Linked DNA regions of Drosophila melanogaster. The protein of the gene in region 3 purifies or fractionates together with the protein of the main gene of each other region. This does not show direct contact. Each region holds a gene or a part of one and is shown on either strand. Other genes may lie near its edges.

Region 1 (4,905 bases), on a different chromosome or scaffold from region 3:
CCAACCCTCTCTTTACTTCTTCTTTTTTTTTTAGAACCAACAGACCGTAAAATTATTTTGTTCAGACTTTGAGCAGAATTCTAGACAATTTTACATATCCTCGTCGTACAGCTATTTTCCAACCTCTCCCTATTTTCATTGTTATTTTGTTCCTCAGGTTTTGAATTCCCGCCTAGTTTCTAATTACCAGAAAATGCAATGGCTGGCTAAGTTTGCTTTTCTTTTACTTGGAATTTGTGGCGTGCTGTTTACTTTTGTAGTCTAGTAAACTGAATCATTCTTAGTCTTATCAAATCGTTCGGCGACGTGTATAGTTAAGGTGCCCTTGTCAAAGCTTCATTTTCACGTTATCACATACAAATTTAAATAAAGGTCAATATGAGGGCCAATTAAAAGCAGGGCATGACTGATAAAGATTTTACTTTTTAAAGAACTTTATTTGCTTTGAATGATTCCAAGTTGATTTACGAAATAAGCATTCAAATAAATAAAATACAACTTTATTACAAATGATTTGGAAACCCTTATCAAAATACAATCCAATTCCTTCAATACAAGTACAGTAAGTAACCGAATAATCTGATTTCAATTCAACTAAAACTAATTTGCTAATGAAGTAAACTTTCCTTTCTTGTCAGCTGAATATTTTTGGATTATCATATCTCTTCAACCATTTTTTCCTCGCCCATGTCAGGCAATCAAAAACAGCATAATAGAAAATTATCATTAGCTACTCTTCAGCAAAATTGAATTCCACAAAGATTTGCATACAATGGTCGACGAAGGAAGGGGTGAAAATGGGGATGAGTCGAACGAGGGGAGCTCATTAAATGCAAATTTTACTTCGCTGCTGTGCACTTTTCATGCAACAAAGTGAAGTGAACAAGTTACAACAAAAAGGTTGTAAAATATACAATGATTAGCCGAAATTGGATCAGGAATGCTGAGTACCACATAAAATATTCATGATTTCAAACAAATGTATATTTAAAGACTTTGCATCAATTATATGGGAATCATATACATAAGAACTTGAAAAAAAATTGTCATTGATTATTTTTAATGTACTATTATGTATTCTATAACTTTCTTGAAAGCTTTTGCTTAAAAGAACCAAAAACTAATGATGCAATCCTTTAAAATATTTTTAATTTTCCTGCCGATTTTATGATCTTCAATAATCTGTGCCGCGATCTCACAAATATTTTTCAATTTTAAAAGTGAATAGCTAATTTTTTCGATTATTTAAAATGGTGTATTATGTATTTTATTACAACCACAATCGAGGGAGAAAAACAAATTTCGATTAAAGCACGCGAAACGCGAAAAGCAAACTGAATGAACCAGAAATTCAGGGGCAAAATAAACCGAGGCAGTCGCCAGCGATAGAGAGAAAAATGAGAGACTGGGAGAGCGAATTTGGGGAGGCGCAATCTTTATAAATAGGAAAAAATAATAATCAACAAACAAGAGCAATGACAAGGGACCGAAGAAAGAGAGCGATCCGATCCCCCAAAGGAAAAGTTTTTCGCCATATGTCCGAGGGTGATTCTCTCGCCGAATCCGCCCGCCTCCTTTATTTTGAACATATGGTTTTTGAGTCAGGGACAGCGCATAATTATGTGGAATTTATATACGGTCACCCCAAGCCAACCGCTCCCAAAATGCCTCCCATCATATGTTCATATATGCATACATACGTATGTATGTATATGTTTTACTCATTACTAAATAAAAGCGCAAGTGAATAAGCGTGGACACGAACCGAAAAGCAAGAGTAACGGGACGCATGCGGGATTGGATGGTAATCTCCATCCATTTCGTCCCATCTCTTTCGTACACCCCCTTTTTGTTGATGTCATCAGAGGGTCTTTTCCGTTCTTTTGTTATTGCGGCTACCTTAGGCCTTTTACTTATTGGTTTTTAGTGCTAGTTTTCAGTTCCGGTTAGTTGTCTTCTGTGCTGTTAGGGCACTGTGCCGTTAGATTTATATGCCTACTAATTGACGAACCATCGCTAATGAAAGAATATTTTCCTACCAAACTTAACGGTACGGAAAATGCCTAGTAAAAGAAATTAAGAAGTACGAGTTATGTATAATGAATGAACTTGGAACTGCTATGCGTTATTCTCGGTGGAAGCCCTTGATTTATTTAATTCCCTTTGAATGTAGAAACTGCCGAAAGCAATGAAAACAAGACTTGATTTTTAAAGAGGCAATATTATTTTTTTTTTTTCATCTTCCTAAGTTTACTAAACTTTTTAAGAAAATACTTAAACTTGTCTCCATTAATAATAAAAAAAATCAACACAAAAAGCACAATTAATTTACATTGTGCCGGTTTTGCAAATTTGATCACCTTATCTTTCTTCGTTTTACTTCATCAATTACCGTCAGTGTTTTTTCAACTTTTAACGCCCCATAACGAAGAATTGCTTTGAATTGTTTAAAGCTATTTTATTTTTTCTTTCATTTTGTCCCATTTATTGTATCATTTATCAATTTTATGCCACACTTGATTTCCATTTTTTATGTTTCGATAAAACACTTGGCAAACTGATTCAACCGCACTTTTCAATTTAAGATCAATCAACCAATATATTTGCCAGAGGGTATGAAAATTAGAAACATGAGCCGAACAAGGCTACTTTGATTACGGGTTTTCACAACAGACCCTGTCATTAACGAATTTGTTTTGATTTCACATTTTTCCTTAAATAAGCGGTTAATGAGCCAAAGGCACCTGACACAGCTGATAAGCGAATTCGATCGATAATAGGTAACACACAAAAAACACACGAATTGAGGTAACTTTGGGTTAATTTTCTCGAATTTCGAACCTTTTTTAATTTGGCTATTTTGCTTAGGAGAGCAGCAGCAGCAGCTGCATTTTCCTTTTCCTTGGCAATTGCATTGCCCAACAACAAAACACCCGCGCGAGAGAGCGCGAGAGAGTGAGAGACAGGGCGACCGTTCGATGCGCTGCTCCGCTTTTCTAGTGTTGTGAACGCGGCAAGCGTTAAATGCAATCTGAGAGAGGAAAGCGCTGAAAAGCCAGCGCCAAGTCGCGGCCCCTCCTCTGCCGCTGCCTCGGTCGACGTCGGCAGAAGCCGCGACTTGTTTTGGGTGCCCGAAAAAATAACGAAAAGAAATACAAAAAAACAGAGCCCCAAAGCAAAACGAACGCAATAGAAAAATTCCACTAATGTGACTTAGCAGTGTTGGAAATTCGTATTACATGCACTTGAGAAAAGAAAATTTTGTTTGCTGAGTGGCTTATATGCACATACACATATACACATTGTATAACATAGTTAGCCAGGTGTTTTTAGGTTTGAAAAGAAATACTAACTTCCAAATATAATATTTGTTTAAACAAAACTTATATTGCAGAATATATTTAAAAAATAATGGATTCAATTTGAGTTTTTGAATGTATTTAGTAAAGTGCACTTTACCAAACATATACATATGTATTACTGGTGGTTAATTCTTTTTTTTCATCAGTGTATGTGACTTAATAGACATTTGCAAAGTGCATTCGGGTAAAGTGGATAGAATGGCTTGAGGGAAAGGTGATGGGAGACAGAATGAGAATCGAGTGGAAAGAATCAAAAGCGACATATGTGAGCAACTCTTGAACTAAATTGAGTCAATTAAAAGTAATGGAAAGAAAAATCAAAGGAAAATGAGTCAGGGAACTGGGCTGTTCAGGGTGCACCGGATTATTCAACGAATTGGTCTGAAATGCGTAACATATGAGAGCGATGTAAATAGTTGAACCGACAAAATACATTTTTTTGCACCCCCTTTTATTTTGCAAAGTTTTCTTGAAAAGTATAATTTCAGTGTAATAGTGTAAATGTGTGATTGACAGCACTATTATGTATTGACACCCTTCAGAGGGCTCCGCAGTCTTCGATAATTACTTTCTTGCTGGTCTTCCCATCTTGTGAACCGTAAGATTCTACCTTCTGGACGATATCCATTCCCTCAACGACCTTGCCGAACACGACATGCTTATTATCCAGCCATGTGGTTTTCCCGGTGCAAATGAAAAACTGAGATCCATTGGTATTGGCCCCAGCATTGGCCATCGAAAGTACACCAGCTCCGGTATGCTTTAGCTCGAAATTCTCATCGGGAAACTTGTTTCCATAAATGGAGCGTCCTCCAGTTCCGTTTTGATTAGTGAAATCACCGCCCTGACACATGAAATTCGGGATGACGCGGTGGAATGGTGATCCCTTGTAGCCGTACCCCTTCTCTCCGGTGCAGAGGGCCCGGAAATTCTCCGCCGTCTTGGGCACCACATCCGAACGTAGTTCCATCACAATTCTACCTAACTTCTCACCTCCTGCGGCTATATCGAAGTAAACGCGTGGCAACGACATCTTCGCAGATGCCGAAAATTTTCGGAGAAAAGCCAGATCTATTAGGTTTAAAATCGAACGATGCCTTGTTCAAAAACAAGAAATATATTTACCGGATAACTTGGTGGTGTCAGCTTTATGATAAAAAAAAGTAACGACTTTCAAGAGAACCGTACAGTAGAACAGCTGGAACTGAACTGACGAATATTCTGGGCTAGTCAGGGATCTGAAGTAAGGGCTCGTTGAAATTCATTTCACAGCCTTCTTTATAAAATCCAGTAGCAAAAAAAAATGCCTGCTTTGGCTTCCACAATTTTTAATACATTGCAAATGATCGGTATATTTGGATATTTTAAGGTAATATTGTCCTTAAAATACCTTTATCCGTGTCTAATCTTACAGACCTTATTTACTCTTCTAATTTGTTTAACCGCCGCCTTAATCAACGCAAAACTCACAGATACTTTTAAAGCCGGCTATATTTACCTTTCATTTGCAGTTGTGTACAAACTTTATATATCCATCCACGCG
Region 2 (5,296 bases), on a different chromosome or scaffold from region 3:
GGCGTGTTCAGTGTCCAGTTAGCACACACCTGGATCAATGGAATCTCTAGCTTCTACCGCGTGGGCAACATAACCGCTGGCATGGCCAACAAAACGGTGTCGGTCGTTCTGCAAATAGGCACCCAGCAGGTGACGGGAGCCGGCCAGTGGGAGGTGGGTGTGGGCATGATGACACGCGTCGGTCACGTACAATTTACGGTTCAGCACATACGCGCCACCGTTGGCCTGAGCCAATCCCTGGACACACGCAAGCGGGCGCAGATCACCGATCTGCAGTTTGACATGGGCAACATACAGGTGCGATGTGACGGAGCGGGAACGCTGGACTACGTCATGGAGTTTGCGGTGAACGTCATTCCCAACCTGCTGCGCTACCAGATCATGGACGCCATCGAGAACCCCATCAAGCAGCGTGTGCAGGAGAAGTTCAACACCATCGATGTGGAGCAGGTCATCAAGACCATGGCTCAGAACAACTTCAACTTTGACCCAAAGCTGTTGGGCTTGTGAGTCGTGGTAGTAAGTAAGAGAGTTATGCAATCGAATAAAGATTTATCCCTAGAACATGGGTAATCACAAGCTACTTAAAGTATACGCTATCTACATGGGCTGCGCCCTGCAGTGGAATGTGCCTAGGGGTCCTTGACACTGAAGCAGAGCAGCTGCAGACGCATGTTCCGCTTGACCCGCTCCAGAATCTCGTCCGCCTTACGCTTCTGCTCGCCACTCAGGGGCGGATTGATGGCCTCCAGCGCTTCCATGAAGTAGTTCCTTTTGCAGATTAGAAGAATTATTGAAATTCATAGGTATTTCATTTAGATCACTCACTTGGCAGTCTCATTGACGTAACCTTCCAGGGAGTCCCTCAATAGACGGATATCCACGTGGGCCTGAATCGCTCCCGTGAAGCTAAAGCGCTGGACACAGCTCATCAGACGGGCCAGCTCTTCGGATATGGTTTGCACAATGGACTCCAGGATGGGTCGCAGCAGTGCCGGTGAAATGCTGTAGATCTCGGAGTAGACACCAACCAAATTATCGCAGCACTCGTGAGCGTAAGGACGCAGCTGGCCGATCTCCATCTCGTGATCCCACTGGAAACGACCCAGATACATGGAGGGCTCGATGGTGCCGACCAGCGGATCGCCCTTATGCTCGACGTACTCCTCCAGAAGATTGGTAAAGAGCTGGTTAACCGTGTAGCGAGCAGTTTCGATTGCCAGCGTGGGCAGCGGGTAACCGTAGCGAACGAAGATGTCACCAAGGCGCGGGAAGAAGATCTTGTTGCAGTACGCATAGTTGGCCAGGCAACAGAGCATGCGCTGCTCCCAGGTCACAGCCGCTGCTCCGCCGCTTCCAGCCACCGAATCTGGCTGCTGGGCATTGGGGAATCCAAGTAGCTGCGACACATTGTGGGTGGGCGTCTCCTCGTCGTGGGAGTGGAAGGCCAGCTCCTCGATCACCGCGCTAAACGCGGATAGGAATTCTTGTAGTCGCTGTGTCACCTCTCTCTGTCCATCCGACTGCGGCTCGAGGAGATTGCCCTCCCGGGTCTCCCTTTGCATGCACACAGATTGCACCTCGTCCAGCGTTTCGATGAGCAATGTTTCCAAGGCGGCGGGTAACAATGTGGCACCTGGATATTCCTCCACGCCCAGTTCCCAGGTCTCCTGGCTGCCCAGCTTTTTGCACCGATCCGTGGCCCGTTTGAAGATAATTGAGAAGCAGAAAAGTCGCACCTCATCGATCAGTTTCTGTATGATGTCCAGCGCTTCCGAGGGCAGATCCAGGCTGATGAGCGTGGCATAGGCTATCCTCGTGAAACGCAGGCACTGCGGAATCCAGGGTAGAAACTGATGTGTTGCCGATGCGGAGCCGATGGGCCAAGCCAAGCCGCTGGACTGACGCAGGGCGCGCTGATCCGTGGCAATGAGAATGGCCAACCTCAAGTAGACACAGAACTTCTCGATGGCGTTCAAAACCATTCGCTTGAAATCCCCTGGCTTGGGATCATGAGGTCCGCGTAGCTCGCCGGTGAAGTATAGCTGGCCCAGACGCCACAAGTCCGGCAGCTGGGAGGCGGCAATGTCGCACAGTTCTTCGCAGAAGTTAACCCGATTGGGCGCCTGGCTGGAATCCCTGTTCTTTGCCTTTTCCTGGGCACCCGAATCCTTGCTGGTGTGCTGATCAAATGTCTGGCGAAATGTCCACTCCAGATATTTGGCTCTGGCCTCGATGGCATCCCAGGCGGGATCGATGTTGCGCAGTTTATCGCCAATGGGAGTTCCGCTCTGCTGCAGTTCCAGACTGATCAGCGCCTTGATGAGCTTCTTCTGTTGCTCCACGCTCTGTGGCATCTTGACCACCTTCTCGTGCAGTTGTTTCCTTATTGACAGAATCCTGTGGTCGACCTCCTCGAGCACCTTGCGGAAAATGGGAATCTCCGTCTTGCCAAAGAGGTTCTTGGCGCGCGAGTAGTCGTTAACCACAATGTCATATTCACCCGCCTTGGCACGTCTGTCCACCGAATTGGGCAGACAGAAGAGGAACTTGTGCCGCGACAGGGCGAACAGAACGGACCGCGTGGAATCCGCCTTCTCTTTGCGCACCAGCACATCCGTGAATATCTTTTGCGATTCGCTAATGGAGTCTATAAGTCGAACAATTTTAGAATTAAATATCTTAATCTATAAACCCCACTCACTCTCTATGGATGTTTCCAAGATATTTAGGGTCTCATTGCCGTGTAGCTTGACATCCTCCTGCAGCTTGTCTCGGATGTTCATCAGCGTATCGAGCTGGTCAATCACCGAGCCTGCATTGGACTTGAGGAAGGACAACTGACCTTCCTTCTGGCTCTCCACTTTCCGCTTCAAGTAGGACAGGCCCGCCTTGAGATCCTCGAAGGAGGTGGCCAGGTGATTTTCAAGCAGGAACCAGGCCGGGGAGAAGTGCTCCTGCGACAGATCCCCGCAGGCTTCGGGAAAGAGATCGCGGAGGTCCTCGGGGATCTTCTGCTCGTTACCCTCGATGGACAGCCCAAGTGGATCCTCCTGCGTCAGTCCGGATTGGGCTAGGGTGCGCCGACCCCAGGCAAAATTCTGCGAGGGCGACTCCTCGATCCACACGGCGGACTCCTTGAGCGGGCCAATGGTCTCGTGGTATGCACGAAACTGAACCGTGGACGTGCCCACTCCGCCGCTTAAAGTGGTCACTATGATATCGCCTTTTCCCTTCGCCGGACCAGTGCGTGCGATGATTTTATTGGGTGATTTCCACTCCGCCGACAGCAGACAATCTGAACCGCAGATTTTTAGACCTTACATTTTTTTTTTTTGGAAGGGAAAGTCATCAGAAAACAGAAGCTATTTGGGACAGGCTACGCCTACCAATTAGATCTTGCACTCGGGTGCCCAGGAACTCGCCGCGAATGATAACGCGGGTGCCAGGAGGACCCTCCTTCGGAGATAGCCCCGTAACCACTGGCTGCGGCGCCATCGTATGCTATATGATGCGGAAAAACTGATCAAAATGCAATAAAAACAATAGAGAACAGAACTTTATTGATGCTGCCAGTGATGGAAAACGTCCCGTCAGTGGTGAAATCTTGGCTAAGTAATCGCCAAGCTAAACAGACAGATATTTAATATAAAACTTATGTAAGAAACGGACGAGCATAAAAAGAGCTTAAAATGTATTAAATCTAAAATTAAAGATTACTTAACATATGATACCATTCAAATAAAGGCAACTTATATCAATCAAGAGTTTTAGTTCTAGCTAAGTCTCCTTGCTGAGCAGCACTGGAAGGCGCAGACCGGTCATCTCTGAACAGCTGATTGATTGTTTCCAAATCCGCCGCAGAAAAATGGATGACGTCGAACGAATTCAGAGCGAGAATGAGAATTTGCGCAAGATTCGCAATCGCCTGATGCAATGGGAGTCCAAAACGGACCCGCTGGCGGCTCTGAGTATCCAGCAAGAGGAGCACCTGGACGTCCTGACCAATCTGTGGCGCGACAGCGGACCATCGGTGAGTCGACTCCTCCTCGAATGGCAATCGTATAATTGCAACCCGACTCTTTGTAGGCACCGGCACCGACTACGCCCACCCAGGTGGGTCCTACCGATTCATCGGCAGCTGCAACTTCGCAAAGCGGCGATGACATCAGACTACCTGCGGAGGGACTCCAGAACACCAATGAGTTTCTGCTTTGGTTCGCGGACGTCAGCGCCGAGATCGAGCAACGTGGCGATGCCGACTACCACAAATACCTGCAGCAGCTGGAGCAGCGCAAAGCGGAGTGCTCCCACATGCTGGACCAGATCGCTGGGGCCATGGAGCGCCTGGGTGCCCTCTGCGACGAGTACGACTTTGTGTCGCAAAAGACCAGCGCTCTGAACACGGCCAGCGAGCAGTTGATCGAGGAGCAGGAGCGACTGCAGGAGCTGAGTCACGAGATTCAACGCCGTCTGCACTACTTCAGCCAGGTGGAGTTGCTCAACCAACGACTTCAGAGCCCCACGCTTTCGGTGGCTAGCGAAGCGTTCCGGGAGTGCCTCAACAAGATCGACGAATGCCTAAACTACATCGAGGAGAATGTGAGCTTGTCTGTTACACTTCGGTCATGTATATACTAATATCCTTCATTGTCACAGCCCAAATTCAAGGATGCGGCCGCCTACAATGTGAAGTACAGGCAGTGCCTGGCCAAAGCCTCGGGTCTGGTGCGTAACTATGTGACGAGTGTGATAAACCAGGCAACCGAGGCCACGCTCCATCCCAAGAACAATATGCCGGATGCCTCCGCTGCTCTCAAGGCACCAGATGCCGCATTCGCTCTGTACTACGGCAAATATCAAACGGCCGCGGCAAAAGTGAAGCGGGTCGCCCAGTTGATTGAGTCCCGGTCGGAACACAGCCTCGACTACGCCCAACTAATGGCGGATCTTCAACAGCACTACTTGGCGCAAAGAGCCAGCGTTATGTCGCCAGCAGTGAATCTGTCCATACAAAACGTTAAGGTGGCCCACAAAGGGGATCACTGCTCTCTCACCCGAAGCGCCTGCGCCTTTTTGGTGCATGTTTGCCAGGACGAACAGCGTTTGTTCTACCAGTTCTTCAGCACAGGAGCGCCACACCTGACGTAATACTCGTACATCTAGTTGGAAAATAGGATTGATCTCATTTTTCCCACAGGGTTTATCTGGAGGGTCTGTGCACCATTCTCTATGACACCATGCGACCCTTTATTATACATATTAATCACTTGGAAACGCTGGCGGAGATCTGCTC
Region 3 (7,193 bases):
ATATTCTCCGATAAAAGTGGAAGTACTTGGTTTGTGTTGCCCTCTCTGCTGGCGTTTGGCCTGGCAGTTGGAGATCTTGTGGTCCTGGCCTGCTGTCTGCGGGAAACGTTGCCCAAGGTGCGTACGGTTGGCTAAATTAAATATATTCCCAACACCATTAATTGTTTGACCTTTTCGCAGGAGAAACGTGTTAAGGAGATATCATCTGCACTGTCTTATGGCCTGCAGTTGCTCAATTTTTCGGCCATATTTAGGTAATTCAATGTTTTAATTAGCATGTCTCGAAAACCTGTCGTGTGATCAAATCGAAATCGTCATACGGTGAGAACTGCAAGCCACCCGGACTTGCCTGACTGGTTTGATAGACACTATTATCATGCCGGGTTCTCGGACACGTTTGTTTGATTGCCTTATCAGTTAGTAAATTCTAGATTGCTTTTGATTAATTGTAGTTACAGGGAATTGAGTCCAGTTAGCTAGAAGATTATTACCAATGATTATGTCTGGATTTTACAATCATATTTCAAAAGAATTCTCCCACTGACAGATTTGCTGCCATCAAAAATGTGCCTAAGAAAGACATTGCGGCACTGCGATCCATTGGCCTGGTATACTTCTTGTATCTCTTTCTGTATTCCGGCTTGGAGTTCACCGTCACATTTCTGATGTACCACAAATTCGGTTACACTTCGATGGATCAGGCGAAGATGTTTTTGACAACGGGTATGGAGCAAGTTGATAATCTACAATATTCCCTATCAAATTTGTGTCTTTTTCTAGGTGTAATCATGACTTTGCTGCAGGGATCGGTGGTCCGACGGCTGCCCGAGGCGAAGATCAAAGGCTATGCCATCTTCAGTTTGTACCTGATTGTACCCGCCTTCGTAGTAGTCGGCCTAGCCGAGGGCAGTCGGATGCTGTACGCCGGCATGACCCTGTTCGCAATCTCCACAGCCTTCGCTGTCACCTGTCTGACCACCCTCGTATCCAAATACGGAAACGATGACCAGAAGGGTTCAGTACTGGGCATATTCCGCTCACTGGGAGCTTTGGCTCGAGCTCTGGGCCCCGTGGTGGGATGCATTGGTGAGCTCCTCAGCTGTCTTAGGATTATACCTTTTCTAAACTCTTTAATCCTTAATAGCCTTCTGGTGCGTTGGCTCCAGGATCACCTATATAGCCGGCGGACTTCTGCTCATTTATCCAGCCATGGCCTTGCAACGCGCTCGCATTTAAGTGCAATAGGAATAGAGTTTTTAAACTCACTAGAGATCAACGGAAGTATTAGCTGCACATTATACTTAATTTATCGTTTTTTACAAGTATTTTATATTAAAATAAACACATTTTTACTCTGATTTGTAAGCAGGGGGTTTTTACTTGGGATCGAAATGTTTTCTATTTAATTAATTTTTTTAATAAGATAATATTAGAAACAGTTACTGCTACTGGGAGAACGATTCTGTTTAGGTTGGAACGTTTTAAGTATTCAAGACATTTTGAGTTGGAAATAAGTTAAATGGGCTAGGGATAATCCCTAGAAAATGTGTTCAGCTTTTTTAAAATACGATAGGCTTGTCGGGATGAAACGAGAGCAGTTCATGATAATTCGTCGTACCGTCTGGTAACTCTAAAACATCCATCTCGTTAATTTAGTGATGCAAGTCGATGTGAAAACATCGATAATGATATAAGTATGTTGGTGTTTTAAAATAAAACAAATAAGTTTTTTAAATAGGAAACAAACATTAGATTTATTTTCTAGACCTAATGTGTTTTAATTATGAAAAAATTTAATTCTAATTCTAAAGCTTTTGAGTATAAAACAATGTTCATATAAACAAAAATAGAAGTGACATTGTACTATCGCCTTACATCGCCATTAAGAAAATCGATAAGTATCGCCGAAATAATGTCGATGTACCGATATTTTTCAACATCTCTAGTCTCGTTGGAAATATAACGTGACGTTATTGGGAGTGACTAAGTTTTCGTGTAAGAGAAAATTGCAAATAAATGCGCTGCAAGCAGCTGCAAATCTCCAATTAATACTGCTCCAATTGCCGGAAAAGTCCTGCCAGCATTTTCGAACGCATCCGAGCTGGAAGAGCAACCGATTTCGCCACTTAAATACTGATATATACACTTTTCTCTTTCTTTACAACTACAACTGCAAATAAAAGTGTAAAGTGTGTGAGCCGACGACAAACGCATTAAAGAAATCGGCGGCGCGCAGGGATTATTGGATTTCGTTTAGCACCCGCACACACAAAACAAAAAGGACGGAACTGGATTTCCAAAGGATATCGAACCGAGCGAGCGATAGCAAAACAAATTGAGCAAAATGGGTGCAAGAGAAGACGAGTACGATTATCTGTTCAAAGGTAATTATAAACATGATACTAGCCGCTGGTCGAAGATCGCGGAAGGTTGATCAGGAGGGGAGGAGCCGCACTTCCAGGCTCTCCTCTCCCTGCCGTGAGAGACAGTGGTTCAATAGCACTAATTGAAACTAATTGGAGAATAACAAAAAGTGCACTCGAAGAGCCCAAAGTTCATGTGATGGTATGTGGTGTGTTTGTTTGCGTGAGTGTCATTAATTCCCAAAATAAGAAGTACGCCCCCCGAGTTTGTTGTTGTTGCTACTGCTGCAGTTGGATGCCCTTTGGTGGCTCTCCCGCTCTCACTCTGCCTATCTCCATCTCTTTGGGGTACTCTTTCGGACTGGAGTACGCGTACTTTGCCGTTAACTGCTTGTTTTGTCATTACAGTGCCGTTGGTCTCGCCACGTTGCATACAAAAGCCAAGCAGATCGTATTTATAATCGCTCGCTCTGTAAAGTAGGTTTAAGGCTTGCCCACCCACTCGAAATGCTAAAGTGATTAGATATCCAGTAAATAGAGCGAGAGTGTGGGTATTATGATTTCTGTACAGCTGGCTTTTGCAATGGTTTCTTGTAACTTCGTTTAGTAGCTCTCTCTCACGCGCGCTCTCTTTTTCACCCGCTCTCGATTGAAAGTTTGAAGCACAGTAGAGCAAAATGATGTATTTGCAGGTAGAAAACAAGACTTTTATCCCGCATCTTCCCCCGTTTATGTGTAGATATGTATGAACAGAGGTCACAAATTCTCAGCTCTTCTTTGTTCCCTTCGTTTGCTACTACGCCATAAATTCCAATTGCGCTTGGAAATCTCTGCTAGCTATCACAGCTGAGCAACTGTTGAATGTCATTAAAAAAATATTTAAAACTTAATCTGCCGTATTTTTTGGGTCAAGTATACAAAAAGTTAAAAAAAAAGTCATCATAATAATGCGTCAGTGTGCGGTATGCATGATGAGGCCTCAAATTTCACACATGAAACAATATTAAACGGACATGACTCACAGCCAATAACTGCTGAAGAATTCCACTCACCGATAAGCGCATAATCACATAACTGAAAATGGGCCGTTTCGGGTTATTCGAGCCAATCCCACTACTAAGTAATGACCGTCGATTACCACTCCTCCCCTTTTAATTTCTCATCGCATCCGCTTAACTAAGTGCAATTTCTCTTTAAAGATCGTTATTAGCGCTGAGAAAGAGAGTAGAAAACAAAGTGACTCAGCTCTCTCGCTGATAACTGTAACCACGCTGCTCCCAGCTGTCCACACTGAAAGAAAACCCTATACCCTCTAATTTAGCTATCTAAATTAAGTCAAAAACTTGGACTTAGCTCAAAAGTCGTTTCAAATATTTAGTTCCTATCTTAATGGCATTGCAATCGAAACTTCGAACTCAAGAATCAGTGTTCATATGATACCATTTTACTATTTGAATTTTCTCCGTGCAGCGATGACCATAGCGATAGAGCGAAAAGGTGTTTGATGAGTTATAGTTGTTGTTTTCTGAATGGATTAGCAAACATGCTGAATCAACAATGTCCGAAAAGGGTGTCAAAAATGGAAACTAATAGACAGACAGTCAGTAAACACAGTGTCTAGATATCAGTTAATATATATTATAGCCAACAACTCTGGCCGCACATAAGAAAGTTTATCAAAAAGAAATGGAGTCGTAAAAAGGTCAGTGGATAGTTTTTATCGGGTAGCATATCAACTTGGGATGCTTGTTTGCTCCCTCAAATATCCGCCACTCAATTATCCAAGAAATGTTTGCTATCGGCAATGAAGCACAATAACACGAACTCCCTAACGTCGACTGGCCCAATCATAAAACATTTCTTTCCATGGCCTGAAATCCCCCGAGCATGGCGGTTTTATGTACTCGCTGACCTTGGTGCGCCGTGCCAGCGGCGAAAGGAGGACATGACCTAGCCGGGCCACCAGCGACCATTCTGTCCGGCCGTAAAACACAAGACAGGGGCCATGCCACGCCACGCCACACCACACACCCACATAAATTATGCAACTGGGGGTCTTCGATTATCCAATGCCAATGTCGATGTCACTAATTCCCTCTAATCCTTTGCAGTTGTCCTTATCGGTGACTCCGGTGTTGGCAAAAGTAATTTGCTCTCACGTTTCACGCGCAATGAATTCAACTTGGAGTCCAAGTCGACGATTGGCGTTGAGTTTGCAACGCGCAGCATAGAGGTGAGTACGCTGGCCAAGAATTCGAGGGTGGAGTGGCCCATGGAGCTCCACCCCCACACATCTACCGCACCGCACCCACAGTGGGGGAAGTCACGGGTGAACTTGCGTGTGCGTTTCGGTGGGAGGACACGTAGTTGAGGCGTCTATCGGAAAATTGGGGGGAAAAGTTTGTTCAATTTGAGTAAGTGTCGAGAATTTCACTAAATAATGGATTGCCAATTGGCTTTCTTGCATAATTTCAAAAGCCATCCTACGGGATTAGCCAAAATGTTGACATCATAGTTGTCACTTGTGCTGAAATAATAAATTTATGTGGTCAATAACAATTATATATTACGTATGTATAAGGATTTGTGTTAAACAATACTTTGTGCCATCTTTTCGAAGTAGCTTAGTAGGTCATCTTAATATTTAGTATATCAAATGGGTTCAATGAATATAACTTACGCTACTTGCGTTTTTTCTAACTAGTGTAAGAAATTTCAAAAATTGGGTTCTCTTACTAGAGTTAAAAGCTTATCCATAAGCTCTAATTTATGTTGGTTATGTGTGAATACTGAATGCCAGTGCTTGTATATTAATTTTCAAAGCGAATGCGCCGCAGGCATTTCGTGGCGAAATTGCCAATTACTGGCACCATTCTAATGCTGTCCTTTGTTTCATCCTTCTTGTGCATCCAACGCAGGTCGATGGCAAAACAATTAAAGCGCAAATCTGGGATACGGCCGGCCAGGAGCGTTATCGCGCCATCACCTCTGCCTACTACCGCGGTGCCGTGGGGGCCCTGCTCGTCTATGACATTGCCAAGCATCTGACCTACGAGAACGTGGAGCGGTGGCTGCGGGAATTGCGCGACCATGCCGACCAGAACATCGTCATCATGCTGGTGGGCAACAAGTCCGACTTGCGGCACTTGCGCTCCGTGCCCACGGACGAGGCGAAGCTGTTTGCCGAGCGCAACGGCTTGAGTTTCATAGAAACCTCGGCCCTCGACTCAACGAACGTTGAAACGGCATTCCAGAACATACTCACAGGTGGGTCGTTCAGGATATTTTAGCTAGTCTGCTTTCAAATTATCGATCGTTTAAGAATATTTAAATACTGTAGATTAAACGCTTCATTGAAAGTCAATAGATTAATGATAACGAAGCACGACTAATGATGTCTCGTAATCCCGTTTCAGAGATCTATCGCATTGTGTCGCAGAAACAGATCAGAGATCCGCCGGAAGGCGACGTCATCCGCCCGTCGAACGTGGAGCCCATCGACGTAAAGCCGACTGTCACCGCCGATGTGCGCAAACAGTGCTGTCAGTGACCGCCCCAAGCAATTTTCGCTATTCCCCGCAACCGCCAGAACAGCAACATAAACAGAAGCAACAGCAATTACAACTACGACTACAAGAGGAGCAGCAGCGGCCAGAACTGCAACACCAAGATCAGGAGCAGCGTACACCCGATGGACCGCACAAGATGTCTATGCGTTTGTCAGCCACAGTTTGTCATGTGCGCATAAATTGATAATTCAAATCTGAGCCGCCACTCTCCACCACCAACACCACCACCATCATCAGAAGCAGCAGCAGCAGCAAAAGAATCGAAAGCAACAACATCCGGCTGTAGTTAACTGCGGTTTAAACTGAAGTTTTATATATATACAGATCCATGAGTATCGCATAAATCGACCGCCGCGGAAAGAAAGCAAGCAAAACTAAACACTCCAAATTCAGTTTAAGCTGTAGAACTATAATTTATATAAATATACATATATGCTAATATTAAAATATTAATATTATTAATTTTTCGCAACATAAATATATAGTTGTAATTTCGCGAGCAGAACAACAACAAACAACCGGAAATTCTTCGACTTAAACGCAAATTCATTACCACAGCACTGCAGCTCGGATTTTCTTCTTCGGTTTCTCGCAACATTTTAAACGATTGGCCACTTGGTAAAACTAGCTGATAAAGAGAAATCAAACAAAAACAGTTGTAAAACTTTAAATGCATAAATGAAACGAAATAACATCATTTGTGTTTGCTATGTTAAGTGTGATTAAATAAATATAATTTAAATAAAACAGAAGTGCTTTCAATTGGGCGGAAAATCGAAATTTAAAATGGGATTAGAGTGACCAAAGGCAGACGTCGGAGTGGGTGTTTGGTATTTTCCGCGCGAGCAGCCACACTGATCCATACACGTGCGGGAGAAAAGTGAACAAAAACATTGAAACATGGGCGGTAAGAAGAAAGTGCATCCGAAGACGCGCACGGCGGCCTTCAAGGCCAGCGAGCCGAGCGAGATCGTGGAGGCGCCGCACTCCTTCGTCATCCATCGCGGCCTCGCCTGTCCGTACATCACGGACCTCACCCTGGACTTCCGCCGCATTATGGAGCCCTTTACGGCCAGCAATCTGCGCGAGAAGCGGATGAACCGCATCAAGGACTTTGTCAGCCTGAGCAGCTTCTTCCACGTCTCGCACATGGGCATCTTCAACAAGGCCTCCACGCAGCTGTCCTTCAAAGTGGTCCGCTTGCCGCGCGGTCCTTCCCTGACTTTCAAGGTTTGTTTGTTTCATCGCTTAGTTTATACTG

Evidence for each region.
Region 1: the proteins of Rab11 (region 3) and nuf purify together in Drosophila melanogaster (affinity purification with western blotting; 5 studies listed by BioGRID, with this or other methods). This does not show direct contact.
Region 2: the proteins of Rab11 (region 3) and Sec5 purify together in Drosophila melanogaster (affinity purification with western blotting, with the first as the bait; 3 studies listed by BioGRID). This does not show direct contact.

Annotation. Positions count from the first base shown.
Region 1 is NT_037436.4:14,217,873-14,222,777, reverse strand, and holds the start of nuf (nuclear fallout), read right to left. Parts: upstream 3,037-4,905; 5' UTR 2,842-3,036; intron 1,339-2,841; exon of another isoform or gene 1,278-1,338; intron 1-1,277. Other genes in the region: CG7768 (uncharacterized protein), read right to left, coding at 3,901-4,395.
Region 2 is NT_033779.5:3,455,608-3,460,903, reverse strand, and holds Sec5 (secretory 5), read right to left. Parts: upstream 3,603-5,296; 5' UTR 3,499-3,602; coding exon 3,390-3,498; intron 3,320-3,389; coding exon 2,705-3,319; intron 2,651-2,704; coding exon 829-2,650; intron 772-828; coding exon 633-771; 3' UTR 537-632; downstream 1-536. Other genes in the region: CG3246 (uncharacterized protein), read left to right, coding at 1-510; Cog3 (component of oligomeric golgi complex 3), read left to right, coding at 3,869-4,033, 4,090-4,602, 4,660-5,147, 5,201-5,296. UniProt on the Drosophila melanogaster protein: Component of the exocyst complex involved in the docking of exocytic vesicles with fusion sites on the plasma membrane.
Region 3 is NT_033777.3:21,109,472-21,116,664, forward strand, and holds Rab11 (Rab11), read left to right. Parts: upstream 1-1,936; 5' UTR 1,937-2,344; coding exon 2,345-2,384; intron 2,385-4,474; coding exon 4,475-4,596; intron 4,597-5,281; coding exon 5,282-5,630; intron 5,631-5,779; coding exon 5,780-5,913; 3' UTR 5,914-6,675; downstream 6,676-7,193. Other genes in the region: rtet (tetracycline resistance), read left to right, coding at 1-117, 181-254, 548-723, 781-1,086, 1,145-1,236; ppan (peter pan), read left to right, coding at 6,833-7,162.